Pelodiscus sinensis: one gene and its partners. The main gene of each other region encodes a partner of the protein of the gene in region 3 in a complex. Links are inferred from orthologs where the notes say so. Each region holds a gene or a part of one and is shown on either strand. Other genes may lie near its edges.

Region 1 (9,843 bases), on a different chromosome or scaffold from region 3:
CCACCAGGAACTTTTACCCCTGCTGCCTGCCTGTGCAGGGGGGTGGGAGTAGGAATCCTGGGACTGCATGCCAGCTCCAACTTCTCAGGAAGCACGCAGCTGTCATGGGGAGCAGAGGAAGAGCATGCACTTCCTGAGAAGTTGGAGTTGGCAAGCAGTACCAGGATTCCTACTCCCACCCCCCTGGGAAGTCCCTGGCAGAGCAACAGACCAGGCATTTCAGGAAGTGCACCAGCAGTTTAGGGGAGGGGAAGAGCAGCCTGTGCTCTTCCTCAGACCTGGGATCCCCAGGTACTGGCTCCAGCTGTCTCTGTCCTCTCCCCCAGGCCAGATCCCCCCTCCCCAGCACCCTGCCTCAGCACCCTGTCTGCTGCCTCCACCAGCACAGTTGGGGCCACATTAGTGAGGCTTCGGGGGTTTTGGAGGGGATTTTTTTTGCATCTCGCTTGTGTGGCCCGACTGACTTTTCTGTGGGTCAGTGACCCCTGACTCAAAACAGGTACCCCACCCCTCTCATAAATAAAGACAACGCTGAAACATTTTGTGTTTGACATAATATTTTATTTAAAAATGAAGCCTGGCCAACAAGCCCCCAATTGGGGCCAAGCCCCCATCTGGCTGCAGCATCATAACACTCCTGCACCCCCCAAACCGCAAACCTGAGTCTATCATACACTGGAACCTCCTGTCCTGAGCCTCTCACATCCCCAAACTCCTGCACCCCCACAGCCGCAGTCTTCTGCCACAACACTCTTGAACCATCCACACACTGCAAATCTGGGTCCTGAGCCCATCATACTCCCAGCCTTCCTGTCCTGAGCCCCTCATGCACCCCAGCCCAAACTCCTGCACCCTCACAGCCACAAGCTTGCGGCTTGCTCAGCACCCCAACCTTCCACCTGATCCCAACACTCTCCAGCCTGGAGCCCCCTCCCTGAGCCAGCATCTTCTTCTCTACTTCCTCCTGCACCCAAATTCCTTCTCAGAGCTTGCACCTCTCACCCCTTCCCAGTGCTTTTTTTGTGAGCCACAATAGCAGTGGAGACAGTGTGAAAAGGCAGGGCAAAGTTGTTGAGCCAACAAACAAACAAACAAACAAAAGGCAGGGCTGTGAAGACTGGGGGAAAAGCTGTTAACAAATAAAGAAAGAAAGAAACAAACAAAGCAGCTGTGGGACAGTGTCTGCATGGTGGGGTTTTTTTTTCTTTCTCTCAACAACTTTGCCCTGGCTCTTCATGCTGTCTCCACTACTATTGTGGCTCTTCGTCTGGAATGGGTTGGCCATCCCTGCTCTATATCTTAAATCTCAGTTCTGAAAATAGTTGCAATACATACCTTTACTTCTGGCCACCAACAGATGGTAGCACATGAATATCAAAGTCTGGGACTGGATTTTCAGTCCTTCCACAAACAAAATTCTCCCTTTTGAATCAGAACCTAATCATGGAGTATGCACTCTGTAGAATATCTCCCTCCTGAGATCAAGTTTTTGTTTGAATATGGATTGCAGAATTAGGTGTTTGAACTGGCTGGTTCTTGGCAATTGGTAATTACCAGACAGTAATGATATTGTAACAATACTAAGCATTTGCTCTTCTTCAGCACATTTATCCAAGGTTCTCAAGGTACGACAAACATTAATTCCTCCTGTGAGGTAACCAGATTTTACAGATGTGGAAACTGATACACAAAACAGACATAACTGCCAAGTCTTGTGCAATTCAATGTGTGACATTGTATGCAACTTACAGATGTAGTATAGCTCATTAATTAAGTTATACATATAATACACATATGACCATGACTGTGGCTTCTGAAGTCAATGAACTCTTCCCCAAACAGTGGTAGGGACAGAACATGGAGCTGCACAAAATTTGTCAGCTGTGACAGATGAGTGCATGCTGAAGGGTTTCAGGGAAGGTGGGAAGTGCTGTGTGGGGAGAAAGCCAGGTTTGTGTAGAAGATGGAGGTGTCTGGAGACTGTGGCAGATTGGTGATAGTGGGGTCAATATGAGAGGTATATAAGGGAAGCTAGATTTGTCAAGGTTTCAGGTGTGGCTGGATAGTTTAGGGGGGATTGGAGGCTAGGGCCAGCTAGTTTTCTGGAGCTGGGGTTACTTGGTGGAGGAGTGATCTGCAGAAAGCTGGAGAAGGTCAGGAGGAAAAGACAGGGCCAGTTGGAGTTCCCAGGGTGGGAAGACCAGAGGGGACTGACTGGATTCAAATACCAAAGGAAAGAAGGGAGGGCTGGGATCCTTTGTGCCCCCTGCTGCTCTTTTCCTGCATAGGAAGGCCCTGCAGCAAGCTCCGCCACCAACATCCCACAAGCATGAGGCTGAGCTGCAGGCACACAGCAGCCTGACCACTGCAGGGCCAGATGGTGCAGGTCAGAGATGCTGCTCCTGGGAGCACCTCCTGGCCTCTGACCAACACCAACAGCTCTGGGCTGGTGTAGAGTGAGAAGCAGCTGAGCTTCAAAAGTCAATACCTAGGGTGTTGAGCACCTGCACTGGAACTGAGCATGCTCAGTAAGAGCTACTGTCCTCACTCTGCCCTTACATGGATTCAGATGCTGCTCCAGGCTTTTTACAATCATTAAAAGGGGGGTTAGGAGGCAATTGCAGTGGGGGATGGGCAGGGCAGGGCACAGAAATTAACCAGCCTCGGGAGTCAATTAACTTTAGTGTGAGGCAGAACAGGGGCTGGAAGGGAAAAATCGGGTGTGGGGGGGTGATTGGAGCTGGTGGAGGGGGAGATGCTGATAGGCCCTGTGCTGGGATTTTGCCCCCACACAGGGAGGGACAAAGGGGGTAACATTTACCTAAGGGGATGAGCCATCTGCCGCGTGTGCAAAGGCAGGGATGGGGGGGCACGAAGGGAAGCAGAGAGGGGTTTTATTTCCCCTCTCAGGGAGAAATGTACCAGTGCTGGAGCACAGGGCAGCTTCCTGATTGTGCTATTAAAGGTACAGCTGCCCTAATGCCTTGGCTTTCCTGGCTATCCTCCACAGCGCCTCTCTCTCTGCACTGCTACAGCACAGAAGATAGAATGCTGCAAACATTCCACATGCAGCATGTGAGGGAGTAACACATTTTGAGGATTTAAAAGTCTCCCATCAGTTTATACATGAAGTCTTTTAACAGTTCACAAATTTGTCTTATCTCTCGCTGTGATTCCCTGAATTACACACCCATCCTTGTAACCCATTTTAATGGTGGTTTTGCTCCTTTACAAATGTTCTCTCTTACTAGGGGGCTGCATCTCCTGCTCATTATGCTTGTCAACTCCCCCTGTCTGGGGGTAGGTGTCTGGCCAGGGGGGCAGGGTGCAAGAGGAGAGGAGGGTGCAGGAGCAGGCTGGGAATTCAGGGTCTCGTAGAAGAGGTGAGGGGCTCAGAGTGCGGGATGTTGGCTTGAGGGACAATGAGTGAGGGGGCTGGAGGTGCGGGGTCTTGTCTTGGAGGAGGTGGGGGCCACTTACTTGCTTCACACAGCTCCCAACACCATAGCTCAGGCATCATCTACCACTGCTTTTTAAAATCTTGCTAATTTGTTTTGCACTAATCACTCGAGTTAACTGCGAGAACTTTAATTTCCATGCCATTCTATAAGTTGAGAAGTTTCAGAGGGGTAGCCGTGTTAGTCTGTAACAAGACAAACTTAAAAAACAACAAATAGTCTGGTAACACTTTAAAGACTAACAAAACATGTAGATGGTATCATGAGCTTTCATAGGCACAGCCTACTTGAGAGTTTGCCCTCACCTGCAGTGTTGGCTGGGTTCACTTTTAGTCACTCAACCTCCAAAAAGATGTAGCAGACATGGAGAGATCTGCAAGCCACACAAAATCATTAGAGACCCGGAAAGGTTATGTGTGAAGAAAGAATGAACAGACTGGGACTGCATCATGCTGCCAGCAGACAGCCCTCAGGGGCATGCCAGTGTACACATACCAATGAATAAGTGGGCACACATTGGGGGCTTGAATGGTGGAGGGAATATGGCCCCAGAAGCTCCTCCCTGTGGTGCATCTGGCCTGCCTGGCAGGGGGAGGATGCGGCTCTGGGAACAGCAGCGCAGGAAAGCTCTATCCTTATTGTAACAGAGTCCAGGGACTGCCTCCAGGGTCCGACCCGTGCCGTATTCCCCGCTCTGTCCCTTCTATGCTTCTTTTCCCTGTATGGCCTCCCTTCCCCCAATGTCTATGTCCCAGAGTTCCGGTTGTACCCGTCACTCAATGTCTGAGCGGGGCTCTCCTCCTGGGTTCCGGTCTCTCTGCTCTGCTCTGGACAGGGCTGGGCACTCTGGGTTGGGGTCCTCTCGGCTCACCCACATCCCTCCGGTGACCTGCTGGGGAAAACACAACCAGCCTCCACTCCGCTCCTTCTGGCTCTCCCGCTCTCCCTCTCCTCCAGGTCCCAAGCCCCATCAGTTCTGGGCGCGTGGCCGCGCATGCACGGCAGACCCAGCACGACTCGGAGCCCGCTCCTCAGAGTGCCGGAGCGGCGCTGCTCTTAGTGCGGGGGCTCAAGCCCCTGTCACACCTATGTTCACTTGCAGGCTACACCCCAGGCACACCCATTGACCAGGAATTGCGGCCAGTGGGAGCATGGGGGGGCAGTTGCCTGCAAGCGGGGAGCCATGTAGAGCCACCTGCATCCCCCTTCCCTGAGCTGTGCTAGATAGTTGCCCCCACCTACCCAGAACATGCACCTTTATCCCCCTCTCCCACTCCTCACCCCTCCCAGACCCTGCACTCCCACCCCACGCCTATACCCCAGATCTCGCCCCTCTCCTACACTCCCAGACCCTGCAACCTCAGCCCACTACAGCACTCTACATTCTGCCTGCACTCCACACCAACTTATTGTTGGCCCCACCTCAGAACCGAAGGGAGACCCACAAAATCTACAAGCCCCAGGTTCCCAGAATAGTTAATCCAGCCCTGGTGGGAAGCACTGAGCCTTGGCCCCTCCTCCCACTTGTCAAGCATGAGTGAAGTGAAGCAAAATGAGGCTACATCTACACTGCAACGTATCCCACAATAGCTATCCTGCGTCTCCACAGCAAGCCCATTATTTTGGGTTTGCTATTCCGATAACCCTGTAAATCTCATTCTACGAGGAGTAAGGGACAGTTTGGAATAGCACTTGATTTTGAAATTTGGTGCTGATGACAAAATATGCTATTTTGAAATAGCATTGAAATAAGATACTCTATTTGAGTGTCTCCCTGTCTCTCTTTCCCCCTCTGCTTCTGAAGAGAGGAAGGGCAGCTGCCCCAGGGCCCAGTGATTTAAAAGAGCCCTGGGCCCTGCAAATCACTGCTAGTGCCCTGGGTGGCATGGGATGGGCTAGCTGGGGGCACAAACCCACAGTCCTACTCCTTCTGCCAGAGGCTCTGTACCAGTGATGGGTGCACAGGTGGTAAAGGCTGAACCCCCAGCCAACTGTCTGGCTTTGCTGCCCCCGGACCAGTGAGACGTGCATGGGTAGCAGAAACTGAGATGAGCCAAATCTGACCACTAGTGCGCCAATAGCTGCTACGGGAGCAGATCTGGAGACTGGGGAAGGGAGGGGAGGGCGAAGCGCCCCCTGGCGACGGCTCTGCAGCGCGCAGGGAACTGCAACAGCCCAGACCCGTCCCGCCTCCCGGGCCGCTGCAGCAGGCGGCGCCTGCGCAAAGTGTGAGTTGTCACATTTGGCGCTGGGATCGATGGCGTGGCGTTCGGCCAGGCTCCCTGAGGTGCGGTCTCAGTTGTGGCAGGCAGCACAAGTCAATCGACGAGCCCCGTCCGGCGACAGAGCGCCGCTTCGCAACCAGACTCTGTCAGCATTCCAGCGCATGCGCCGTGGGGTCGTGGTGCTCCTCTCACCAGAGCCAAGCGGAGGCTAGTGCCGCCGCATCCTGCGGGCGTTGAGGCGGGCGCGCGCAGGTGTGTGAAAGTGAGAGCGAGAGCCGCGCGGGCGTTGAGGCGGAGGGGCGCGCGCCCAGCGGGTGCCTCGCAAGGCCGCGAGGGGCGTCAACATGTCCGGCGTGGGGGCCGCTTCCTGCGCCTCGGGCTCCGGGGCCTGTGCCGGAGGGGCCGCCGCCGCCGTCTCCTCCCCGGGCGGGGGGGTGTCGATGTTCCGCTGGCTGGAGGTGCTGGAGAAGGAGTTCGATAAGGCCTTCGTGGACGTGGACCTGCTGCTGGGGGAGATCGACCCCGACCAGGCGGACATCACCTACGAGGGGCGGCAGAAAATGACCAGCCTCAGCTCCTGCTTCGCCCAGCTCTGCCACAAGGCGCAGACCGTGTCCCAGATCAACCACAAGCTGGAGGTGAGGGCGGGGGGGGGGACCTGAAAGTGGCCAGACGGGGGAGGAGGTTTGAAGGGGCACGCGGGGGGTGGGGCTGGGTAGCCGAGTGCTGAGTTATTGGGGGAACTGGGAAGCAAAGGGCTTGACCGACGCGGGGTGGGGATTTTCCCCAGTGCCCTGATTGCTGCCTTAGTCTCCCATGGGGCAGGCTGGGATTCAGGGTGTCTGTTCTGTCCACTGTCTTCTCTGCACTTGGCTCTAGCTAGCTGGGGCACCTTTTCCTCTCCTCAGTCATAGCTTGGCTTCCCATGGCAGCTATGGGCCGGACTAATGAATGACCAGTACAAAAACACACAACTTCTTAATTAGAATATTTTTTCACAAATCAAAACATCACCTAATCAGATGATCAAGTTAAAAAATCCATAACCAAGAAAGCACTCTTACCTAGTGAAAGAAGCAGGGAAGAGCATGCTTTAAAAATTCTCTGAACTCAGATATGGTGATGTGCAGTGTAAGAACCTGGTTGGGTTGTTAGGTCACCAACTGTGGTTCTCTCATTGCTCTATGATTCAGAAGTAACTAAAATTGCCATTTATATAGTCACCCCGAGCTATTAAACTAGCTAGAGCTGGTCTGTTGCAGAAATAGCTGACTGTAGGAAGAAAACATTTTGCCCATGATTTTAATCCCACTTCTTCTGGGTAGCAAGACATGGGTCTGCAAAATGTCTTTTGAGTATTAGTAATGCAGTAGCTAAGATTAGAGAATATTTAAAAGTAGAGTACAAGTTCAGTAGATCATCTCTGAGGGGTATCAGTGTTAGCATGGGGTGTTGGTGAAGGCAGGGCTGGGGGAGACAAGCTCCCATCCTCACATCGAGCCCCACCCCTTCTGCTGAGGCCCCATTTGTGCTCCCCCCTCCCAATCAGGGGGAGGGAAGGGCAGGAATGCGCTCACCCCAGCCTTTCCAGCCCCAGGCAGGAGACCGAGTACACGGTATGGCCCTGGCTTCACCAGCTCCGGAGGCGAGCGTGCCATGCAGCCCAGCCCAACCTCACCTCTCCAGCCCTGGAGCACCAGAAGAAGAAGGAGGGCGTAGGGTATGTGGCATGGCTCCAGCCTCGCCAGCCATGGCACACTGGGGAAAGGAGGAGGGCATGGTTGCTCAACTATTCGATAGTCTCTGGGGGCGGGGCTGGCAGCCAGGCACTCCCTGCCATCTTGTGCTGCTGCCTCTGATTGAGAGGCAACAGGGCAGTGTGGCATCAGCCCCTGTCCATGTGGTGCCTGAGCTCGCCGCAGACAGGGGCTGCTGCTTTGGAGCAGCTTCTGTCCACGGTGAGCCCAGACCCGCAGTAAGAGGCAGTGGAGGAGTGGACAGGCTGGTCCACAGAGCCAGCACACTCAGAGAGCTGGCTGCTTCCTGCCTTTCATGCTGCTGCCTCTCTATCAGGTTGAGGGGCAGTTGGATCCAGTGACCGTGGGGAGTCAGCTTAAAGCTGTCTACCTACAGGCACCGGCTCCTCCCTTCCGCCCTTTCCCCCGTTGGTGCCTCTGATACACATACCTCTGGTGCCACGTTCTACATTGACATCCCTAATAGAATCATGAGCTTTTTTGGGCAAAACCCACTTCATTGGATGAACTCTTCAATCAAGAGCTATGTATAGCAACAGACGTACCTGTCAGTTGTTAATGGCAGGAGAAATTGGCTTTGTAATATGCCAACTAGTTATGTCTTTGTTTTGTGTAAGTCCAGAGTAATTGTATCAAATCTGTAGATAAATTCCAGTTTTGCAGACTCTCTTTGTAATTGGTTAGTGATAATCCTTTGTAGAAAAATGGCTACTTTTAAATCCATAATTGAGTGACCAGGCAGGTTAAAATGTTCCCCTACAGGTTTATGTGTGTTACCATTTCTGATGTGTGTCCATTTATTCTCATTTGGCTACTATAGATGGCAATGGGACACTTGATGGCATATATCACTTTAGAAGATGTGCAGTTGTATGAGCCTCTGATGTTGTGGCTTATGTGGTTAGGTCCTATAATGCTGTTGCTTGAATAGATATGGGGATGGAGTTGGCAACGGGGTTTGTTGCAGGGGTAGGTTCCCAGGTGAGTGTATCTGAGGTGTGATGTGTAGATGCCGTAAAGGATTTGCTTCAGGTTGGGGGGGTTGTCTGTAGGTAAGGATTGTCCTCTCTCCCACGGCCTGTTAGTTTATAGTGAACAAAGTTGACTTCCTTATAGTTCATGGAAGTTCTTTCCAGACTGCTGTTTGTTGTATTATGTGTATGCGTGTTGCTGTACATTAGATAAGGCAAGTCTCCTGCTTGATAAATCTAATGCATATAGCCACAATATAGTGGTGCCATAGACTAAATCAGCATGGATAGCATGTTCTGGAAGAGCAATTCAGTTTTATTGTACCTTGGGAAACAGGTGAGTTTTATGATCTATTTGAAGGGGAAGGAAGATACTGGCAAATTCTTGTATAATTACTGGGGGAAACAATCATTAAGGCTTGAATGAAGGAAGAGAAAAAGGAAACAGTTAAGAGAGATGCTTCAGTGGAGTACATGGAGTGGGACTGAGACTGGATATAAGCAGCAATGAAGTCTGAAGGTGGTATTGGAATTGTGGAATGAGCAGAGGTAACAGGTAACTCTTTTAATGGGTGCACAATTTTCAAACTTTTTGAACTGAGCCCCTCTTGAAATTAAATTTTTTGGTTGTACCCCTCCTCCCAACACAGACAAAAATATGCAAGTCAAAGGAAAGAGGTAGTTCCCTTCCAAACACATGGGTCTGAAGACTGAGCTGCTACGCAGTGTTGCTCATCCCCTGGAACTTTTCTATATGTCCTTCAGTTTTGAAAACCTCTAATTTAAAGGTTGTGGTGTTATAAAAGCGGGGTTCTGGGCAGACTATATAAACCCTGACCAAAATCTGGACATGCATGCCCTCTCACATACATACACCTGTCCTCTGGGAGGGATTGCTTGAAAAGTGAGGACAAAGCTCTTAATTTTAGTTAAATAATTTTCTTTTGAGCAATTACTTTTAATATATCTTTGATATATACAGTTGGGGGGGTTTGATGGTTTTTTTTGTCTTTATCTTTTTGAAGTATCTTTTGAATGATTATTTTGTGCATTGTGGTTTTCATTCTATCCATTTTGGGCAATCTTAAGTTAGGGATGTGAAGGACTAATTGACTATCAATTTGCTGATTGGATAATTGACAGGATAGCTGACTAGTCACTTCCTTCCCCGCTTCCTGCCTCTATCAGATAGAGGCAGCAAGGCGGGGGAAGAAGAGAAAATGAGAACATAAGAATGGCGATACTGGATCAGACCAAAGGTTCATCCAGCCCAGTATCCTGTCTGCCGACAGTGGCCAATGCCAGGTGTTCCAGAGGGAGTGAACCGAATAGGTATTGATCAAGCAGTATCTTTCCTGCCATCCATCTCCATCCTTTGACAAACAGAAGCTAGGGACACCATTAATTACCCATACTGGCTAATAGCCATTAA
Region 2 (9,721 bases), on a different chromosome or scaffold from region 3:
GGCAAAGACCCACTCTGTCAGATGCACGTGAAGACAAAGTGGGTCTTTGCCAACGAAAGCTTATGCTCCAATACATCTGTTAGCCTATAAGGTGCTACAGGACTCCTTGTCGCTTTTGCAGATCCAGACTAACAAGGCTACCCCTCTGATACTAAACAGAATAGTCTCTTTTACTTCTTATTGAAAACGCTGGGAAGTTTATTCTTTATAGTGGCAGTTTCAATCTTTCAGTTGCTGACTCATGGAACAAAGTAGCAGAATGAAGAAGGTAACCAAGAAGAAGTGGGGTAGAACTGCAGATGGTACTGGGAGGAAAAGCAGCAGTATCATAACTAGCAGTGAAAACTCATAATGAACCTCCCCCCCACCCCCCACAGGAAGTTGTGCATCAGTGTCTTTGCTGATGACAGGGAACAGGAAAAGCATGTGACTTTGTATGTTCTGTCTTCACTACTTCCTGCAGATTTTAGGGGCAAATTAAACCAGGCAGTTGCCAATCAGACCCCAGATGAGAGCAGAGGGAGCAGGTCCAGTCAAACAGATACTCAAATACTCTTTGTGAACACTACACATTTGCATTAGCACTGCTACATCTGTTACTAAGCACCAATTACCTTAACTATGTAACTTCAGTATAGACAAGACCCCAAAAGAGCTGGCTCACTGTTCACATCTCATTCAGTTCCAGAGCCATTAGGCCACTTATCACAAAACCTCTTGAGAATGCCATTTGACAGGAAGTAAAGGGGTAAAGCCTCAAAGTCTGGAGGGTTGGTTGTGCGTACCAATCTCAACATGCTGGTGGCTAGACTTCATCACAGAAAAGGAGAGATGGTGTGAGGGAGCTCCATGGTAAAATATTGGCAGCACATCACTAAATCTAATTAGAATTTTGTCACAGGAAATGAGAATTACTCTAAACCTGTGGTTTATGAGTCATGCTATTAAAAAAAAGTTTTACCAAAATTTTAACCATGTCTGAAACATTAACAGGTTTTTAAAGAAATGAAATATCCTCTAAGAGTGTTAAGGAAAAATAATTGGTTTGACCCATTTACCAGGTTGTTTCATATACAACTTTGCAAGACGGCTTACAATTGTTAACTCATATTTTTAATTCAAAAAACTAGGTGGCAGCATATATTGGAATGTGTATCTCCACACAACCCAGAAAGATGTCCCCCCCCCTTGTCAAATGAGTTAGAATTCTTGGCTTGAATTTGCTTCTCAATAACTACTGAAAAAGACAACTAGTCTCCTGATCACCTGGATAAATCTGAAACACATTTATTTTATGAACTTGCTATCACCTCTTCCTAAGATACCACCTGAAATGCTGTTTTATCATTATACTGGTGATAAAGTAATTCAAGATTATTTATTGCTTCCAGCTGTATTGCACATCTAACTTTCTGCAGCCAGAACTTTAATTGATCCTCTGGAATAGGGTGCTGCATATTCTTCACGGCTGACACAGATTCAGCACCCACTGTATTGCAGCATATTTGTACTATTATGATCATCTAGATGACTAGGGTACAGTAAAAAAAATACAAACATTGCTGTACTATTATATATTCATCTGCAGTACTTCTTTCAAGCTTAAATCATTGGTAGTTTTGCATTATTCTACAACCATTGCATCTCTATTGTAATAGGCAGTCTGAGAAGTATATTTGCAAGTGCCGAATGCCTGCTTTTCTACAGATTTAATACTTGACTCTTAAGGTTTTATATTTTATACAGTATATTTTTACTTCAAGACCTCTTATGAAATTATTCATGTTATACAAATCTCCTCTTGACCTAAGGTAACAGAATTTTGTGACCACCACCCAAATGAGCACTCCAAAGCCGGTCATTCAGATATTACACTGGTTAACCTGGATGGTTACAAAAGCGTTATTAACCAGGAACCACAAAAGGAAGAAGCATCCTTGTTTTTCCTTCCAACCCTGTTATGCTCAACTATCTGCTGTACTTACACAATGGTGCACACAATCTCGAGCTCAAATCCTTCCGTAGCCCCCATAATTACAGGAGTGATCCATATTGATCTTCCCTCTCACTGCATCCTCCTTTCCCACACTTCATTACAACTAACTATCCCTGCTTCCCTCAGTAGAGTGGTGCAATGGCTTATCCCACACCCCAGCAGAGTGTTGCACACAGATCTCCCACACCCAAACCTATGTATCTCAACAGAGCTAAGAACAGATGCTTTATATGTCACTTCCAAAGGACTGCAAGATGTATCCCCAGATCCCCCACTCACCAGCACAGTGGTGCAGATGGATCGGAGCTCAGACTCTACCTTCTCCCGATAGTCCTTGACAAGCTGCATCTTCTTGTCATTGGTGTCTGTTTTCTGCTCAATGCTAGAGATGACCCTCCAGGCAGAGCGCCGTCCCCCCACTACGTTCTTGTAGGCTACCGAGAGCAGATTGCGTTCCTCATTGGATAACTCTGCACCCTGTTCGGTTACTGCCTTCATGCAGGTAGCCATATCATCATAGCGTTCGGCCTGTTCAGCCAGCTTGGCTTTCTGGATCATCTCGGTCTTCTCCATGGTGGCTGGCAGTGGGGAAAGGGCAGCAAGGCAGAAGGAGAAGCTGATGCTGTCACACTGTCAAAAGGAGAAGGCACCTCAAAACCTGCCAGAGGGGAAACAGATTAGCCATGACTCTGGGAGCCAAAAACTACAGGACACCACACTCTGTCCTTCTCCAAGACTCAGAAGACATCAAGCCAATCATCATTCTATTAATCAAGAATCACAGACCATAAAGGATCTCCACCACTACACCACCTCAAAAGCTATCTTGGAATGAAGAACCTTAGGCTTATATAGCCAGCCCATTTCACAGGGAACTGGTCACAGGACAAGTGCTCCAGGGTCTCTACAGAAGGTTAATAACCCAGAAACCATGACAGGGGAAAAGATAACTCAATCCCTCCCCACTGGAGCACAATCTACAGAGCAGATGGTGGGAAAAGGCACTCCAGTCTCTTCAGAGTGGCTTTTGTTTCCACCTCCACTTTCCTCCCTCTCACTCCTGTGTGCACTAGCCAGGCTTGCAGCCCGGGAATACTAAAAAAAATTAGAGGGGGAGGAGAAGAAATAGACGGCTGGAAGCCATTAACCTAAAGGGGCTATCTCCAGGAGCCCTGCCTAAACGCTTCCCTCTACGCCTTGTTTCAGAGAGATTTGCCTTAAACATGGGTACCGTGGGGAATGGGGCTAGTAGAATAACCACCGACCGAAGGGCAGAGACAGGAGGACGAACAGGATGAGACTGCCCCAGAGGACACGGGAAGGAGAAGACAGGTATCTAGCGCGCGTCTGGGGACACAATGGCCCCGGAACAAGAGGATCCGAGGACGGCATGGCAGTTCATGCTCCCGCGGGGCAAGCGGGGCCCCCGCTGCTGGCAGAGATGGGGGGGTGCCCCGAGATAAGGAGACACAATAGGGGAATCTTTGTCCCTTGGCGAAGGAGGCGGCGCGGGAGCAGGCCGGGCGCTCACAGGGATCCGCGTCCCCAGCGCAAGGCCGGGGAAGAGGCAGCACTGGGAAACCACTGCCCGAACCTCCCCGGCAGGGCGGCGAGTCTCGATCCCTCGGGGGAGGGCGGGGACGCCGGAGTCCCATCCCCTTGGGTGGTGCGGCGGGCAGGACTCGCTCAGCCCGGGTGGGTGGGGTCTGCAGGCTGAGCCCGGAGCGGGCGGGGGAGAGGCAGCTCCACGCCTTAGGCCGGGCCCGGCCGTTCTGCCGGGGAGAACGGCGCTCGGCAGCTCTCTGCAGGGCAGGGCGTGGCCCGTGCCCAGGGGAAAGCGCTGCGTCCCGGGGCGCCGCCGGGTGCGAAATGGCGGCGGCGCTGGCGGCATCTCCCGCTTCCCGGCGCCGCCGGAGACTCCGCGCCGCGCTCACAAAATGGAGGACGCGGCGACCTTTCTCATTCCCGTGGCCGATCTCGGTCCCGCTCACCTGGGTCCGTTCCGCAAGGCCGGGCCGGCTCACGCCGCTGGATCGGGTGCGCTCCGCTCGGGGCTGGGGCGAGGAGAAAGAGCCGCTCCTATCTCAGGCGAGAGCCAGCGCTAAAGGGCGTTGGCACAGGCAACCCTACCCGCTGCTAGACCCGCGCTCCTACGGCCAATCCGAACGCCTGCTCCTAGCCGGGACCCGCCCTTCGCGTGCGATTAGCCAATCCAGACGTAGCGCGCCGTCGCGGGGGTGGGCACAATCAGGGCGCAAGCTCGGTTGGTCCGTGGGCTGCGGCTGGGGCCACGGGGTTTCCTCCAATTAGATCCAGGGTGAGCTAACGTCACTGTAACTATGGTAATACTGCTACACCCCCCCCCCTCCTCCCTTCCACGCCCTGCCCTAGCACTGGAAGCTTAGTCTGGGCGCGGCACGAGACAGTGCGGAGGTGCGGCTGGGCGGCTCGTGCTGCTGCGGCTGGGCGGGGCAGAGGGGGACTCCGGGTTCGGAGAGCGGGTGGCAGCGCGGGGCGATGGAGGGCGGGCGTTGTAGGGAGGGAGCGTGCACTGCTAGAGGGGAGGTGCAGAATGGACGCTGAGGGATCACTGGGGATTGATGGGGTCGGTGCGGGCTCCATGCGGCGCTGCCCCACCCCTCCCCTTTCCCCCCCTCTTTGCTGCCTGCCTCTATCTGATAGAGGCAGCAAGGGGGAAGAGCGACTAATCGAGTAGCCCTTAACATCCTTACTCTGATGGAGGGGTGGGGGCGGCAGGAGGGGGGATAGAGGTGGTGGGACGTGCTGTGAGCTATATTACTGAAAGGTGAGTATGAAGGTTAGTTAAGTGCCACTGAAGTTTAGGGTGCTGTGAAAGTAGCTACTGGGGGTTCAAAAGGATGTGGCTATGGCAGTGGATAATGAAAGACCAGTGAGCTGTTGAAGGTGGGTTGTAAGGATTAGTGGATTCTGGGATGGATAGGGTGGTGGATGGTATTACTACAGGAAAATTTATGGGGAATAGGTGGGTGATGCTGGACTAGTTTGGTTGGGGTGTGCTTGGGGAAATAATAGATGGATATTGGGAGGTGTGGAAAATGATTGTGTGTTGCTGATTGGTAAATGGGTGGGAGCTATGAGGGAATGAAAAGGAGTTAACATTCAAAATTATTTTTCTCCTCCCCTTCAATAATAGTCTGTGTCTATCCTGGGTTTTCATGATGGTCAGCATATCTTGAGAAATGACTGAGCACTTTTTAAAGGCTTTTTTTCCTCTTTTGTGTATTTGGGAATAGTTGATGAGGGGGTATTTGTAGAAGGGTGTAGACTTGAGTGGATAAGTTTGCCTTTTTCCTTCGATGGAAGTGAAAGATTCATATGACAAAACAAAAAAATGTGGATTGAGTTTTCCTTGATTTCAGGCCATGTCACCAATCTTTGATTCCTCAGCAGTAAAAATATGCAGTTGATGATGCAGACAAGAACTCCTCCTTTTCCAAGAGTTAGACATTTATGATGGAAGGAGTTATGTCTTTTTGGAGCGGTTAGTCTGGAGTAGGAGTGAGAGGAAGGGGGACAGGGAGAAAAAAGGTAGGAAAAGGGATGGTATAAATTTGTCCTCGTTTCTTTACCTAATGATGGTGTTTGGAAGAAGTTTGGTAATTTTTCATGTAAAGGCAAGAGCCTCAGAAGCAGGGAAGGGTTATTTTCTCTCTGCTGACTAGAAAATAAGTTTTGCAGCCAGCCCTGGAAATCTTTTTCCTGGCAACCAGATTTGGCTGCTATGTCCCTTGAAGGTGTCCAAGAAGGTAGAACAACTGCTCTGTATTGTGGATAAAAAGGCTTGGTATGAAGGGCTTGGTTGGAAAGTTTAGGATTCTTCGATCCTTGTGTTAATGGACAGGGGAGACAAGGCAGGAAGAAATCCTGGTTTAAACAAGAAATTGTTCAGTCTCTTCCATTGGTTTCATCTAGAGGTTGGCAATATCAGTGGACAAATATTCCAATCTTATGATCATACATGCTGTTATATGTAAGATAAATGTTTATTAAAGTGTCATCTGGCCATGATTTAATTAAAGGTGACCCCTCCCCAACAGTCTTGCATGCAATTCTTAAATACAGATTGAATGATCCCGCTGGACCAGTTTTGGCATAGTTGATTTTAGACAGGCACTGAGTACAGGCCGCTTGAGCCTAAGAGGAGGAAGAAGTATTGTGGTTATGTTTTTTATAGCTAATCTGAAATGCAGGAGTTGTACCTCAAAGCTGAATTAAATGCATACTTTAAAAATGAGTAGTCCTGTTGCACCTTAGAGACTCATGATTCTGCTACAGGACTACTTGTTGTTTTTAAAGTTACAGACTGATATGGCTACACTTCTGAGACTTTTTAAATGCACACTTGTGAGAGTTCTGGGACTTATTCTAATAGGCAGATCATCCTGCTGCATTGCAAAGTTCCTGCATGACCTAATATAGTTTCTTACCACAATGGTTTTGGGATCTCCAAGGATGACATTTCTCAGTAACTTAAACATCAATCTTGGATGATGAGCTCTCTATATTAATCCAGGATTTCATGGGGACCATGAAGATGAAGGTATTAGTGGCTGAGATTCTTTATTTAGTGTGTGGTTAGGACTTCTGTTTGTTTAAATCTGCTGTCTGTTAATTTCATTGGGTGATCCCTGCTTTCACAAGAAGTAAGAGAAGTCAAAGGGAGAGTGTTCTCCCTTCACCTTCCTGCAGTGTGGACAGCACCAGAAGTTCAATTAAAGTACTTTGACTTCAGCTACGCAATTAACATAGCTGAAGTTGCATATCTTAATTCAACCTTATCCCATAGTATAGACATATCCCAGTTGAGCTTCTGCTGATGAACCCTATTCAGTGCCTACTTGAGTCTGAATCATGGAGAAGAGCTAGTTGTATGAAGCTCACTGACACAATGCTGAAAGAACTGGAAGATATGGCAAGGGTTATTTCTGACCCTTAATTGGCAGGTTTAAGCTAGCCCAGTGTAATAAAAGTTTGCAGTCTGTGGTATCCCCAGCTGTTGTTTAATGGGTCATATAGACCAGTGATCAAGAAAACTCTCTTCAGTCACCAACAGGGCAGGGGAATATAATTGTTTCTTTTGGTTGCAAACCTTGCTACTGCAATCTATTCCTTTGTATTCTCAAGACTAAATTTCACCGTAAATCAACCTGAAAACTGAATAATAGAAAATTAGGGTTGGAAGATCTCAGGAGGTCATATAGTCCAGTGGTTTTCAAACTATTTTCCTTGTGACCCATTTGAAGAAAATTATTGATGCCTGCAACCCAACATAATTTGACTAAAGCGTGGCCTCTGGGGTGGGACTGAGGAAGAGAGCTTTTGGGTGTAGGAGAAGGGGGCTCTGGCTTTGGGGGATTAGGGCCGAGATAGGAGGGGATTATCTTGAGTAGCTTCCCGTCAGCTGTGCAGCCAGGGGTGTTAAGGCAGGCTTCCTGCCTCGACTGACACCATAGACCATGCTGTGCCTCAGAAGCTGCTGGCAGCAGGTTCTTAGCCAATGGGAGTGTGGAGCTAGTGCTCAGGGCACAGGCATTGCGCAGGCAGGACTCCCCAGCTGATCTCAGGTTCCGGGGAAGTGCAGCACAAAGCTGGGGGTCAGCTGGGGAGTCCTCAGCTGACCCTGGGCTCCACTGCCCTTGTAAAATGGGTGGAGGGGGCAGTTTCAAAGGGGAACCCACTGCACAGCTCCATGTGGCACTTCCCCAGAACCTGGGATCAGTTGAGGACTCCCAGCTGACGCCGGGCTCCCCGCAACAGTGGAACCCAGCGTCTGCTGAGGGCTCCCCAGTTGATCCCGGGTACCAGGGAAATGCTGTCGGGAGCCTAGGGTCAGCTGGGGAGTCCCCAGCTGACCCCAGGTTTCAGGGGAGTGCCACTCAGAACTCCTAGGAGCATTCAGTGTAGCATGGAGCCCGGGATCAGCGGGGGACTCTTAGTCCCCAGCTGACCCCAGGCTCCATGGCTTTGAAATGCACAAGACTGCTGGGGACTCTTGTGCATTTCAAAGCAGGCACCCACATGCAGCCCGGAGTCAGCGGGACTTCCTGCTGGCACCGGACTCTATGCGGAGTTCCTCATTCTTCCTTTGAAATGTACAAGTGCCTATTGACTAGTCAATGGAAAATTAGTCAATTAACCACATTTTAACATCCTTAATTCAAAGGGATTAGAGAGGCTATCAAAATAAAAAACCTCAATATTAGTGGGGGATTTCAACTATCCCCGTATTGACTGAGTACACATCACCTCAGGATGGGATGGAGAGCTAAAATTTCTTGATACCTTAAATTACTGCTTCTTGGAGCAGTTGGTACTATTTGGTATCCAGGAGGTGGGCGGGCATTAGCCCGCCCACATCTAAAGGACCTCCCCCCATCCTGAGGGGAGGGTCCACTGAATCTGGAAAAACCAACTAATTACTGGGGACAAATAATGAAAAAACAGGTACGGGTGTGAGGGTCAAAGGGTTAAAACGAGGGAACTGGATGGGGACACCGAGCAGAGAACCCCAGACAGTGCCCACTGCCCCCCGAAGGTCTCGAGAGAGCAAGCGGATGCTGCCCATTGGAACTCTGCCCGGATACTTGAGCGGATGCAGGAACGGAAATAGGCCCCACAGTCGCAGGCCCCTCCCCGGGCCAACCTCTTCTCCCTGGTTTTGTAGATTGCCCATTTGGCCATAGCCAGGAGGAGGTTGACCAGGAGGTCCCGCGACTTTGTGGGGCCACGGATGGGATATGCGTAAATTAACAAGTGGGGGGAAAAGTGCAGCCAGAACTGCAACAGGAGGTTCTGGAGGAGCCGAAAGAGGGGTTGTAGCCTGGCGCACTCGATGTAGATGTGCGCCAGCGTCTCCCTCACGCCACAGAAGAGGCACATGTCGGGGGTGGGGTTGAACCGCGCCAAGTACACGCCTGTGCTCACTGTGCCGTGCAGGATTCTCCAGCAGATGTCCCCGGTGGGCTGTGGCACCAAGGTCGAATAGAGGCTGGCCCACCGGGGCTCCCCACCCTCCATTGGTGGTAGGAGGTCCCACCACTTGGTGTCTGGGCGGGACATGAAGGTGGGGAAGTGGAGCGTGTGAAGCACGAGCGTGTACAGGTGACTCTTTGGCGCGGTTTGGAAGGGGACCGGCGGCATCGCGTGCAGCCGGCTAAGATGACGAGGGGGAGGCAGTCGGGAAGGTACACAGGGCTTGGGGCCAATGGAGAGTTCGGGAGGGCTGGGGGTGAGGGGTGGGCGGGGTGCACCCTCTCGCAGGACCTTTTCGAGGTAAACCCGAGCAGTGGGCGGCAAAGCGTCCTTCACCTCCTGAAGTACGCGCTGGGGAGTACGTAGGGTGGAGAGCCCCATGTGCTGGGCGAGCGCCTGAGGATCCACCCAGTCTCCCCGGCGGTAGTCCAGGAGGTCTGCGACTCTGGTGGTTTCTGCCAGGACCATTGGAGCAGTTGGTTCTTGAACCCACAAAGGGAGAGGCAATTCTTGATTTAGTTCTACGTGGAGTGCAGGATCTGGTCCAATAGGTAAATATAGCTGGACCACTTGGAAACAGTGACCATAATGTAATGAAATTTAACATACCTTCAGGGAGAAAAACACCTCATCAGCCTAGGACTGTGGCATTTAATTTCAGAAAGGGGAACTACACAAAACTAAGGAGGTTAAACAGAAATTAAAAGGTAC
Region 3 (10,113 bases):
CCATGTTAGGAAATCAGGGTCTGTATAACGAGCTATCCCTTTTAGCTACTGTATCCTTAAGGAGAACTCACAACAGGTTGTGAAGCATGGCATTAATATTCATTCACTATTTACAACAGTAACATGAAAGATGTCATTCTTGCTATTCAGAGTTTATAGGGTGAATTTAATGCTATTACCCCCTAAGGAGATCTAGCAGAGTATGTCTAAACTACCACCCTAGTTCGAACTAGGGTGGTTAATGTAGCAACCGAAGTTGCAAATGAAGCCCAGGATTTGAATTTCCTGGGCTTCATTTGCATCTTGCCGGGCGCCGCCATTTTTAAAGCCCCGCTAGTTCGGACTCCTTGCCCGCGGCTACACGCGGCACGGAGTAGGTAGTTTGGATTAGGCTTCTTATTCCGAACTACTGGTACACCTCATTCCATGAGGAGTAACGGTAGTTCGGAATAGGAAGCCTAATCCGAACTACCTACTCCGTGCCGCGTGTAGCCGCGGGCACGGACTCTGAACTAGCGGGGCTTTAAAAATGGTGGCGCCCGGTAAGATACAAATGAAGCCCGGGAAATTCAAATCCCGGGCTTCATTTGCAACTTCGGTTGCCTACATTAACCACCCTAGTTCGAACTAGGGTGGTAGTGTAGACATACCCGCAGAGGGTAGCTCTGGCCAGGGATTTTTGCCATTGACTTCTGTAGGGCCAGGATTTCATTTAAAGTAGGATGATTTCAAGGACTGATCAGAATTTCTCATCTGAAGATCAGCTCTGGCCCTGGTCATGAGTGACCAAAGCTTCCTGGCCTCTGGTGTCTGTTCATTGGTTAATATAAAACAAGTTGGTATCCTCATCCCATTTCTTATAGGCATATCCATGACACAGGAACCACCATAAGCAGCATTAACCAGTGTCTGACCTGGAAGCCTCAGGAGAGCTACAGAGTGAACTACATTAAATGATGTTTAGATGTAGTCCCCTCCCTGTGCCAGTAGGAGCATGTTGACAGAAGGGAAACTTGAATAGTCGCATCCTATGTCGTACCTGATTTGTGGACAGAAAATGGAATTTGATTTGTCCATCACTTTCTATGTACTTGGTAAGTTAATATATTTTTGCTTTTTTTCCCCCTTGAAAGTTTTTTCTTCAGCAGCATAGCAGAGTGTTGAATTTATCCTAGTGCTGAAAGCCCTTCTAATAGCCATTATGATGAAACCAGTCTACCTTGTTTTCAGTGGTGCCCTAGGATTTAATACACCAATAAATTGTTGAAGTGTTGTTATATCCTATTTGAAAAGCAATTCATTTACTTTTATGGTTAAAACCACAATCATAAAACAGAACACCCTGGGCCATTTTCAGTCCTAGTGTAAGTGGCACTGCTTCATTCACTTCAGGGCATATGACCTAATCTAACTCTCAGTATGGGGGACTCCTCAAATGTCTTCTTAGCAGGGTTGAAGCGTCACTGAAATGTACTTGTATATCTCCATTTCATTCAGATGTGCTATTTGCTTCTAACTTCCATTTGTGGCTGATCTAGTGCATTATGTTAAATATTTGCTGAAAAAGGCCACAGGACAAGATCTTTGGATCAGGGACTTTATCTTTTACTAAGCTTTTTGAGCAAAATGCAGTAAAAATAACTGGAAATGTATAAAATTAGTGGATAAAATTGTTGGTTTCAGATTGGGACTTATTTATCATTTCTGAAAATGGAAGTAAGTGAAGAAGTGGGTTGTGCCCACAAAAGCTCATGATACCATCTACATTTGTTGTTAGTCTCTAAGGTGCTGCAGAACTATTCATTTTTTTCCCCAATTATAGACTAACACCTTAGACTAGTAAAGAACATGTTACTGAAATTCACAGACACTAAACTGGAAGAGGCCATAACCACCAGAGAGAACAGAAATAACCCAAAGGGACTTGAGCATTGAAACCAATATTCCCTCTATTTTTTCCATCTATGTGCAGAATAATTTTTATGTGAACCAGGGATAGAAACAAAATATCTAGCTGTGGGTACTGTGCTAATCAGCTGGGTGGCATCTGAATTACTCCTGAGTGACTGCATGAGGGTCTAGCTTATAGGAAACACTGGTTATAATGTTAAGTGCCACAACATTTAACTTTTAGACACCTATGTGGTTAAAAAAATGTGCACAGGAACAACACTAATCTACAAAGCTGAATGAGATACCTAGGATTAAAAATGTGATCCACAAACAACAACTTGCTAGGTAGGGAGCTTCCTAAACTAACCCATGGGAAATGCTGAAGAAAAGGATGCATGCTAAGCCACACCATACACTTCTCCAGCCTCATTCCCAGATAGGCACCTAAGTGCAGGCTGCAAGGAGGCACCTAGCTGCTTATAGCAATTCATGAACAAGGACTCACCAGCTGCAGTCAGCTTAGGTGCTCAAGTTATTTCTTGCAAGAATAAGTTAGGTGCCTTCGACGCTCCACACAAGATGCCTTATATTCTTCATCCCAGTGGCTAGAGCACTTACCTGCAATGTGGGAGACACAAGTTCATTGCCCTTTCTTCTTCCATGTGGGGGGGGGGGGGGGGGAGTGAAGAGGTGAAAGACAGCTTTTGAAATGTTAGGTAGATGCTTTTACTAGCCAGCTCTGAGATATTCTGAATTGGAATTCCCTTAGTATCTCCCCTTGAAGCTGTTCCACTGTGAATAAGTCACTGGGGGTATGTCTACACTAGCTCGTTAATTCGAGCTAGATAGGCAAATCAGGCAACCGGAGTTGCAAATGAAGCCCGGGCTTTAAATATCCCGGGCTTTATTTGCATGTTCCAGTCTGGCCGCCATTTTTAAATCCCCCTTAATTTGAACGAACTGCCCACGGCAGTTTAAAGTTAATCCGAACTAAGGACTTCATTTGCAACTCTGGATGCCTGATTTGCCTATCTAGCTCGAATTAACGAGCTAGTGTAGATATACCCTGGGATAGGAGGAGAATGACTAATCCAGGGTTTAGGACACATGCCTGCATTCAGCAGGAGTTCTGTGCCCTAATTGGCTGCTATATGATGCAGCTCCTTGCTTCAGAGCCCCAGCCTTTTCCCAGGCTTGGATTTAACCCTTGGGGCAGATGCCTCATCGCAAGTCTGAACAATAATTAAGTGGGACATCTCCACTAGCCCTTTTTCCTCAAGACTCACACTGCTGCTATCACCAATTCAGCTCCACTAGTGAGCACAACAGTGAGAATACTAGAATAGACAATGCTTAACAGCCATTGATGTTTCAAGCATAGCATCATCTAGACCTAATCTAAGCAGGATGAGTTTGCCCTAATGCTTAAGATACTGACACGCCTATTATTGCTATCACAGGTAAGATCAGTGGGAAATTTGAGACAAAAAAGCCTTGTTTAGCCACTCCATAAGAGGAGACATTAACCAACTTCATATATTATGCGGTAATAACACCAAGATGAAGAAGAATTATTTATGGGAGTACAGTTGGACATAACTAGGAATAATGATATAAAATTAAGAAAGAAAAATATCAGTAAAAGTATCCTAGGAATGACAGCTAATTAAATGGTAGCATAAATTGCAAGGAAAAAGAAAGGCATGGGGCTGGAGATGCAACTAGTCTGGATAAAGTACTAGACAATATACCGAGGGGTGCAACTATGCACTTGCTGAAAGATAGTTCTCCTCTACCCTTTCCATATCTAATGTTTTAAATACAAAAACCATAAAAACCAAAATCAACAAATGTAGTGTCTAAATAGCAAAACCACGGTATTAAACAAAACAAACCAGGATCAATCACACAATGAATAACTCAACAAAATAACCGTATGTTCTTATGCTGTGATCAGTGTTTTTCCTAATGTTAGTTGTATGCTTGTCAGCACTTTGGTTATGTTTAGATTTTAATCTCTTTGGGTGCAGGAACCAGGTACCTTGTTGTTAATGCACACATATTGTACTCCATAAATAATAGTTTGTTGAGCCAATGTTATGAAATGTGTGACATCCCACCTTCACTGAGCCAGTATCATTGTTCTTGGGAAGTTTAAAAAAAAAAAAGCACAGCTTCATTTCTTACAGTCGTGAGTTAGATAATCATTTCCAGTATGGAAATAGGGTAAAAATATGCAGCAGATATAATTCTTTATTTCAGTATCTTCAGCATCTCTCATAGCTAGATCAGGTAAGTGTCCTTTTTGAGGGCCTGTCCACCTTCCAGCCCGCTCATTGACTCCTTGTTATGGACAAGGTCTGGCCAGGTCCCTGAGAGCCCTTGACCTTTTTTAGGGGCAAGAGGAGTTTAAAAAGTCCAAAATTTTAGGAGGTCAATATCCCTGGCTGAGGGGCACACAATTTTTGGCTCTTTTGGATATGGCTCACTTTTTCTTGATCATCATGGGCTTGGTAGGGAACCCACTTTCCTGGGTTCCAGACTAGGAACCATACACAAGATAAATTCATGGAGTGTAGGTCCATCAATGACTATAAGCCCAGGTTCTGCACTGCTCTCAGCCTCTGAGTGTCTGAAACCGGACTAAAAGACAGAAAATAAATCATGCAATAATTTCCCAGCTTTGTTAATTCCTTTTAAAGCATCTGGCCTCAGTCACTGTTTGAAAGAATGGGCTAGAGCAGAGGTGGGCAATAAAACAGCAGCAGTTCCCCAGAGTGAGCCACTTGTGGGCTGCTGCCACTATATTTACCTGTGCTGCCACAGGTATGGGTGATCACAGCTCCCACTGGCCAGGAACAGCAGTCTGCAGCCAACGGGAGCTGTGATCCCCCACACCTGCAGAATGCAGGTAAATACAGTGCCATGGGGGCCCAACAGGGACTAACCCTAGTGGACTGCATTTGGCCTATTGTCCAATATTTGCCCACCCCTGATCTAGAGAGACCTCTGGTCTGACCCAACATGGCCATTGTTATGACAAAAGAGCATCAAGCTCTTCCAACTCCTTCATGTTACCCTTGTCTACCTAGCATACCTACCTTTCAAGCTGTTCCTCAGTTACCTTTTTGGTCCCATCCCCTAGAGGGTCCATATTCCTGAGGAGTATCTTACCAACTTGTTACTGAAGGCTGCTGCTCACCTACTTTTTGCTCTACATTTTTTTAAAATCTCTCAGCTGCTTTGAGTCCCCTGATCAGCCCCAGCTGAGCAGGCAGGCAGTTGCCCAATCTCAGTAACCCTTTTGTAGCCAAGACAGCATGGGGTCTGGACACTCCATGAGAGTATCCTTATTACTGAGTATTAACATTTGCACTTAGATTAATTTCGAGCAGAAATTAATCAGGTAATTTCACAGTAAACAAATTTGCCAAAGGCCTCGAGATAATAAAAATCTCAGTTCAAAGAGCCTGCTTCCCTATTAATCTGCTCCAGTCCAATGTCAATGTGTGCCTAACACTTTTAACAATAGCCTTCCAGGATTTAACGCAACAAGGTGTACTGAGCAGTTTATAAAATATGAGGCAGTAGCGGGGATTTCAACTGCCTTTGCACCTGATTTCGCCGAGTTTTACCTTTTCTTCTGATGCTTTAAATGCCAAGTCTTTCATTGTAAAGTGGGAGTCTGAGTTTCTTTCCATAAACTCTTCCAGAGGATTTGCTGACAGAGAGCGAAATTGGCTTTATAGCAGGTGTCCTGGTGAACCTCTGCCAGTTCTTTTAGGTCGGCAACGTGTTGTGCTTGGCATTTGAGTTACCAGCCGAGCTAGGGGTGGGGATGGGATGTAGCAATACTTTGGGCTCAGAGCTGTGGAGTGGGCCGTGTTACACAGTACCAGACAAAGACTGCGTGGCAGGGGGCAGAGAATAAGACCCTGGGCACAACCCAGAAAGCGCAGAGGTGACCTGGGCAGGGGAAGGGGCTTTCCTAGGGGGAAGGAAAGGTCCGTTTGGAGCCCAGGAGCAGGGGGGGGGGTCGGAGTGATCCCAGAAAACTGCGAGGGGTGGGGGGGATTATCCGGGGGAGACCTGACCCCAAGGGGCTCTGGAGCCTCACGGTTTCACACAGCCCCGAAGCACAAGTGTGGGGCGAGTAAGTCCGAGGGCGTCACCAGGCTCCGCGGCCAGCCCCCTCATGCCGCAAGGCAGCCGCTGGAGCGCGGGGCTCCTCGGGGGAACTCGGGGCTGGGGTCCCGGAGCGCGCACCTGGCGGCGGCGGGCGGGACTGGGAGGAGGATTCCTTTGGGGCCGGAGGGGCGAGGCCAGGCGGGGTGCGGGGGCCGGAGGCCGGGCCCGTGGACACAGCAGAGGCGGGGAGAGGGGCAGGGGAAGGAGGGAGCCAATGACATCAGCGCGGGCAGGGTGCATAAGGTGGGGGAGCCGCAGGAGCGGGGCGGGCGCGGGAGAGGTTCGCAAGTAGCCGCCGCTGCAGCTCCCTGCGCGGCCCCGGGCACCATGCAGCGCTCCCCCCTGGAGAAGGCCAACGTCTTCTCCAAACTTTTCTTCAGGTAAGAGCCGGGGCCGGGCGCGGGGGTCGGGCCCTGCGGCGGGCGGCAGCGCGCGACATGCGGCTCGGCGGGGTCCCTCGGATCCTGCATCCTCAGCCCCCGGGCTGCGGCCGCCGCGCGCCTGGCCGGAGTCGGGCTGGGGTTGCTCCCCTTCGCCTCGCGCTGCCCAGGTTGTTGCCGCCGGCGCCGCGCTCCGTGGTCTTCCCGGGCACGTCGTGCCTGTGTTCTGAACACTAGGGGCGGACACCGCTTCAGCTCGTGCCATCGATGCTCCCTGAGGGAGTGAATTCAGAGCGGGCTATCTGAGCAGCCCTGGGTAAACCGCGGCAGGCGGCTGTGCATTTCTCTGCAAGGTGTGAGAACTCCGGAGGGAATTTGCTTCGCCAGCACTTTTCTTGAAAGTGATTTTAGGGTCAACTCCCTAGACACAGATCTCGGTCAGACGAGTCCTGATGGATTGAAAGTCCGTGGCCCCTTTTCTCTTCTTTTTGCGTGTTCTCTTTCGTCCCCTTCCTCCACCACCATCACCACACGCAGTACACACATACAAATCACACATCTGAGAATCCCTTACCAGGAGCTGTGACAAGTAACACTTGAGATCATACGGGAGCAAGATTAGAAAGACAAAAATCGTCCTCCATATTTCCCCAACTTTGTACCTCTGACAGCCTACTGGGTGCACCCGGTTTCACGCAGCTACAAAGTTTTCCTTATTGCTTCCTATAGGCATCAATAGGGGTAAGAAAATCAGTTTATAAAATAGTAAACTGTGCTTATGAATGGCAGGAGGACTCTGGCAAGTGTAATAGAAATGTAGCCGTGTTAGTCTGGTGTAGCTGAAGCAAAATGCAGGACTATGTAGCACTTTAAAGACTAACAAGATGGTTTATTAGATGATGTGCTTTCGTGGGCCAGACCCACGTGGGTCTGGCCCACGAAAGCACATCATCTAATAAACCATCTTGTTAGTCTTTAAAGTGCTACATAGTCCTGCATTTTGCTTCTGGCAAGTGTGACCCCTCAGACTCACTTTTTAAAAATGGCTAGATTTCAGGATAACTTTGCCTCTTTTAAAATATTTTTGGGAGGTTAGTCCAGCCTCTAGTTTGTTTTCATCTTAGTTATTTCTGGGACATATCATAGAGTAAGTATCTTAGAATCTCTGATGCTTAAGCCTCAAAAAATATACTCCAAGAAAAAAAATGATCTCTGATCCCTTCTTTAGGCAAAAGTTCCCTGGTCTGAACTAGGACTTAAACACATGGTCAGTGTGAAGCATCTGCTTAAGTATCTTGAGTTATCCAAAGTCCATTGAACTGAAGGAGCATCTTTCTATTGACTTCAGTGGGCTTTGGATTAGGCCTGTTGTGAAACTGAAATAAATGCAACTAATATAACATTTATTACTCTGCAATTAAAAAAAAAGCATGCTGAAATATACTCAATGTTTCTCTCCTTGTCACCAATATGTAAACCATTTTATAATGCTAATTGGTGTGGTAGAAGAAAAGTCAACCCACTGAAAATAAACTTTCTTTGCAATAAACACAAAAAAATGTAAATACGGGCATACTTTCACAGTGAATGAAACTGGTAAACTAATAAATTTCTGTGTAGTACAAAGTTTTTGTTTATTTGTTGTCTAGGACATTTATATTACAAATGATTTCTTTGTTCCTTCTCAACATATATCATCCCTTTTACGATTCAGTGCTTTTGGAATGTTTTATTTGATACATCAATAGGCTAACACTAGTTAGATGTAAAAATGGTGAATATTAAGAGTTGCATCAAAACTCTTCTTTTAGAAGGGTGCCAGAATACATAGTTTTTATTTATTAAATTTGTTCAAAAGCTAACATTTTTAAACTATGAAAGTATATTGGTTTATTTGAAAATACATGCCTTTGCTATTCAGTTACCCAAACAGAGTATCTATCTCATAGGGTCAGGATAAATTTCTGGGGGGAAATATGTTATTGTAGTTGCTAGAAAGCAAGCTGACATACAGCAACAAGTGAAATTATCTAGTTATAAGAAGTGAAAAGAATTTAAGAAATACTATGTGTGATGAACTTTACAAAACCAGAACAATACTCTTGTATAGCATTAGGTAAACACTTGTAGATTCAATAAACTGGTTCATCCCATAAATTTGTGGTTAAATATTGGATTTTGCTGTGTTTTTTCTAAAATGATAGAATTTCATTTTGGTGTGTAATTGTATCTGCATAACAAGAGCAAACCCTGTTCTAGAAAGCATTCTCATTTAGAAAGCACTTAAGAATATACTTAAGGTTAAGCATGTGCCTTTTATGCTATCCCATGTACCAGGTTTGATGCTTTTATTATTCTAGTGTAGCATGAACAGTGCAGCTGAAATAAAATCAAGAAGTCAATACTTCCTTTGTTTATAAAATGAAATGGAAGAAAGTTACTTTTCCTTCAAACAACAATTATTTAACATTGTCCTATAATCTGTCTTCATGTAGTTTAAGACATTTTCACTTTCACAGTTTGTACTGGGTTCTGCTTCTTTCTTGGCTTTGTATTTGTAAAATGCCAATCTCGATGTAATGTAGTAGACTGAAGGTCACTGTACGACCATTTGAAATAACTGTGGTGAAACTTGCAGATAAGATACTATCCACCAGGGGAGTCTCAGTGATAAACATATCATTCATCATAGTGGTTCTCAGCTATCTGACGACAGCATATGAAATGTTAAGTAATATATTACTTTTTGCAAACCTGTGGCCAGATTCTTTGCTTAGATGCATGTGTCCTGCTTGGGAGATATGTGAACATAGCTGAGTAAGGAATTTGGATCTTAGTTTGTAACTAATGAAGTTAAGACAGATACATTTCAATGCTGTATTTGTACATTTTTTAAAATGTGTCCAATCTCTACCTTAAACCAAAGTTCAGACAATAACAAGTTTGATAAAGAATCAGTCACATATGGACTCTTAATAAGGGAATACCCATTTTTTTCTATGAATATTCGAGAAAGTGATCCAGGGTGGCAAAAAGAGAGAGCAAGAGAGGCTTGGTCAGTATAGACTATAAAAGTTCATAATTTAAAAATTAGATATTTTTGGAACCATTTACAACTATGAATAAATAAGTAGCTTTTGGTTTAGAATATTACATTTTTTTCATGCTGAAGACATGAAAAATAAACAAGGTAAGTAATAACTTTTACTAGGAAAACATTTACACAAGTTGTAATTATGCTACTTCTGTCTTTGCTATAGCTCCAGAATTGACAAGACATTATTCTATGCTTTGGAAACTTCTTATGTAGACAAACTCAGACTGGAAATAAGATGTACATTTTTAAAATTCAGAGTAATTAACCATTTGAACAACTTACCAAGGGTGGTGGTGAATTCACCAGCACTGACAACTTTTAAATCCAGGCTGGATGTTTTTCTAAAAGATATACCCTAGGAATTATTTTGGGGAAGCTCTGTATAGCTGGTGTTCTACAGGAGGTTGGACTAGATGATTGTCACCGGTCCCTTCTGACGTTGGGCTCTATGAATCTTGACTCAGAAAATAGACCCTGATCCAGGAAAGACTTAGGATATGTCTACTCCACAAGTTAAGGTGTAATTGTAGTGCAGATAGGAATACCCATTCCAGC

The links. Proteins that work in one complex are often made in the same cells at the same time.
Region 1: the proteins of CFTR (region 3) and GOPC are in contact, whole or in part, in an NMR structure (PDB 2LOB), measured with the Homo sapiens proteins. The link is inferred for Pelodiscus sinensis from reciprocal best matches to the Homo sapiens genes CFTR and GOPC. Residues at the interface, in NP_000483.3 of Homo sapiens: Val1475, Gln1476, Asp1477, Thr1478, Arg1479, Leu1480; in NP_065132.1 of Homo sapiens: Gly298, Leu299, Gly300, Ile301, Ser302, Ile303, Thr304, Gly305, Glu308, His309, Glu317, His319, Thr347, Lys348, His349, Lys350, Glu351, Val353, Leu356.
Region 2: the proteins of CFTR (region 3) and YWHAQ are in contact, whole or in part, in a crystal structure (PDB 7QI1), measured with the Homo sapiens proteins. The link is inferred for Pelodiscus sinensis from reciprocal best matches to the Homo sapiens genes CFTR and YWHAQ. Residues at the interface, in NP_000483.3 of Homo sapiens: Arg764, Arg765, Arg766, Gln767, Ser768, Val769, Leu770, Asn771, Leu772, Met773, Thr774; in NP_006817.1 of Homo sapiens: Asn38, Arg41, Asn42, Ser45, Val46, Lys49, Arg56, Arg60, Glu113, Phe117, Lys120, Arg127, Tyr128, Glu131, His164, Pro165, Ile166, Gly169, Leu172, Asn173, Val176, Glu180, Ile217, Leu220, Asn224, Leu227, Trp228.

Annotation. Positions count from the first base shown.
Region 1 is NC_134713.1:84,049,263-84,059,105, reverse strand, and holds the start of GOPC (Golgi-associated PDZ and coiled-coil motif-containing protein), read left to right. Parts: upstream 1-5,700; 5' UTR 5,701-6,027; coding exon 6,028-6,321; intron 6,322-9,843.
Region 2 is NC_134713.1:27,903,844-27,913,564, reverse strand, and holds the start of YWHAQ (14-3-3 protein theta), read right to left. Parts: upstream 4,144-9,721; 5' UTR 3,988-4,143; intron 2,655-3,987; 5' UTR 2,570-2,654; coding exon 2,276-2,569; intron 2,270-2,275; exon of another isoform or gene 1-2,269. UniProt on the Homo sapiens protein: Adapter protein implicated in the regulation of a large spectrum of both general and specialized signaling pathways. Binds to a large number of partners, usually by recognition of a phosphoserine or phosphothreonine motif.
Region 3 is NC_134711.1:45,168,821-45,178,933, reverse strand, and holds the start of CFTR (cystic fibrosis transmembrane conductance regulator), read left to right. Parts: upstream 1-6,288; 5' UTR 6,289-6,408; coding exon 6,409-6,461; intron 6,462-10,113. UniProt on the Homo sapiens protein: Epithelial ion channel that plays an important role in the regulation of epithelial ion and water transport and fluid homeostasis. Mediates the transport of chloride ions across the cell membrane.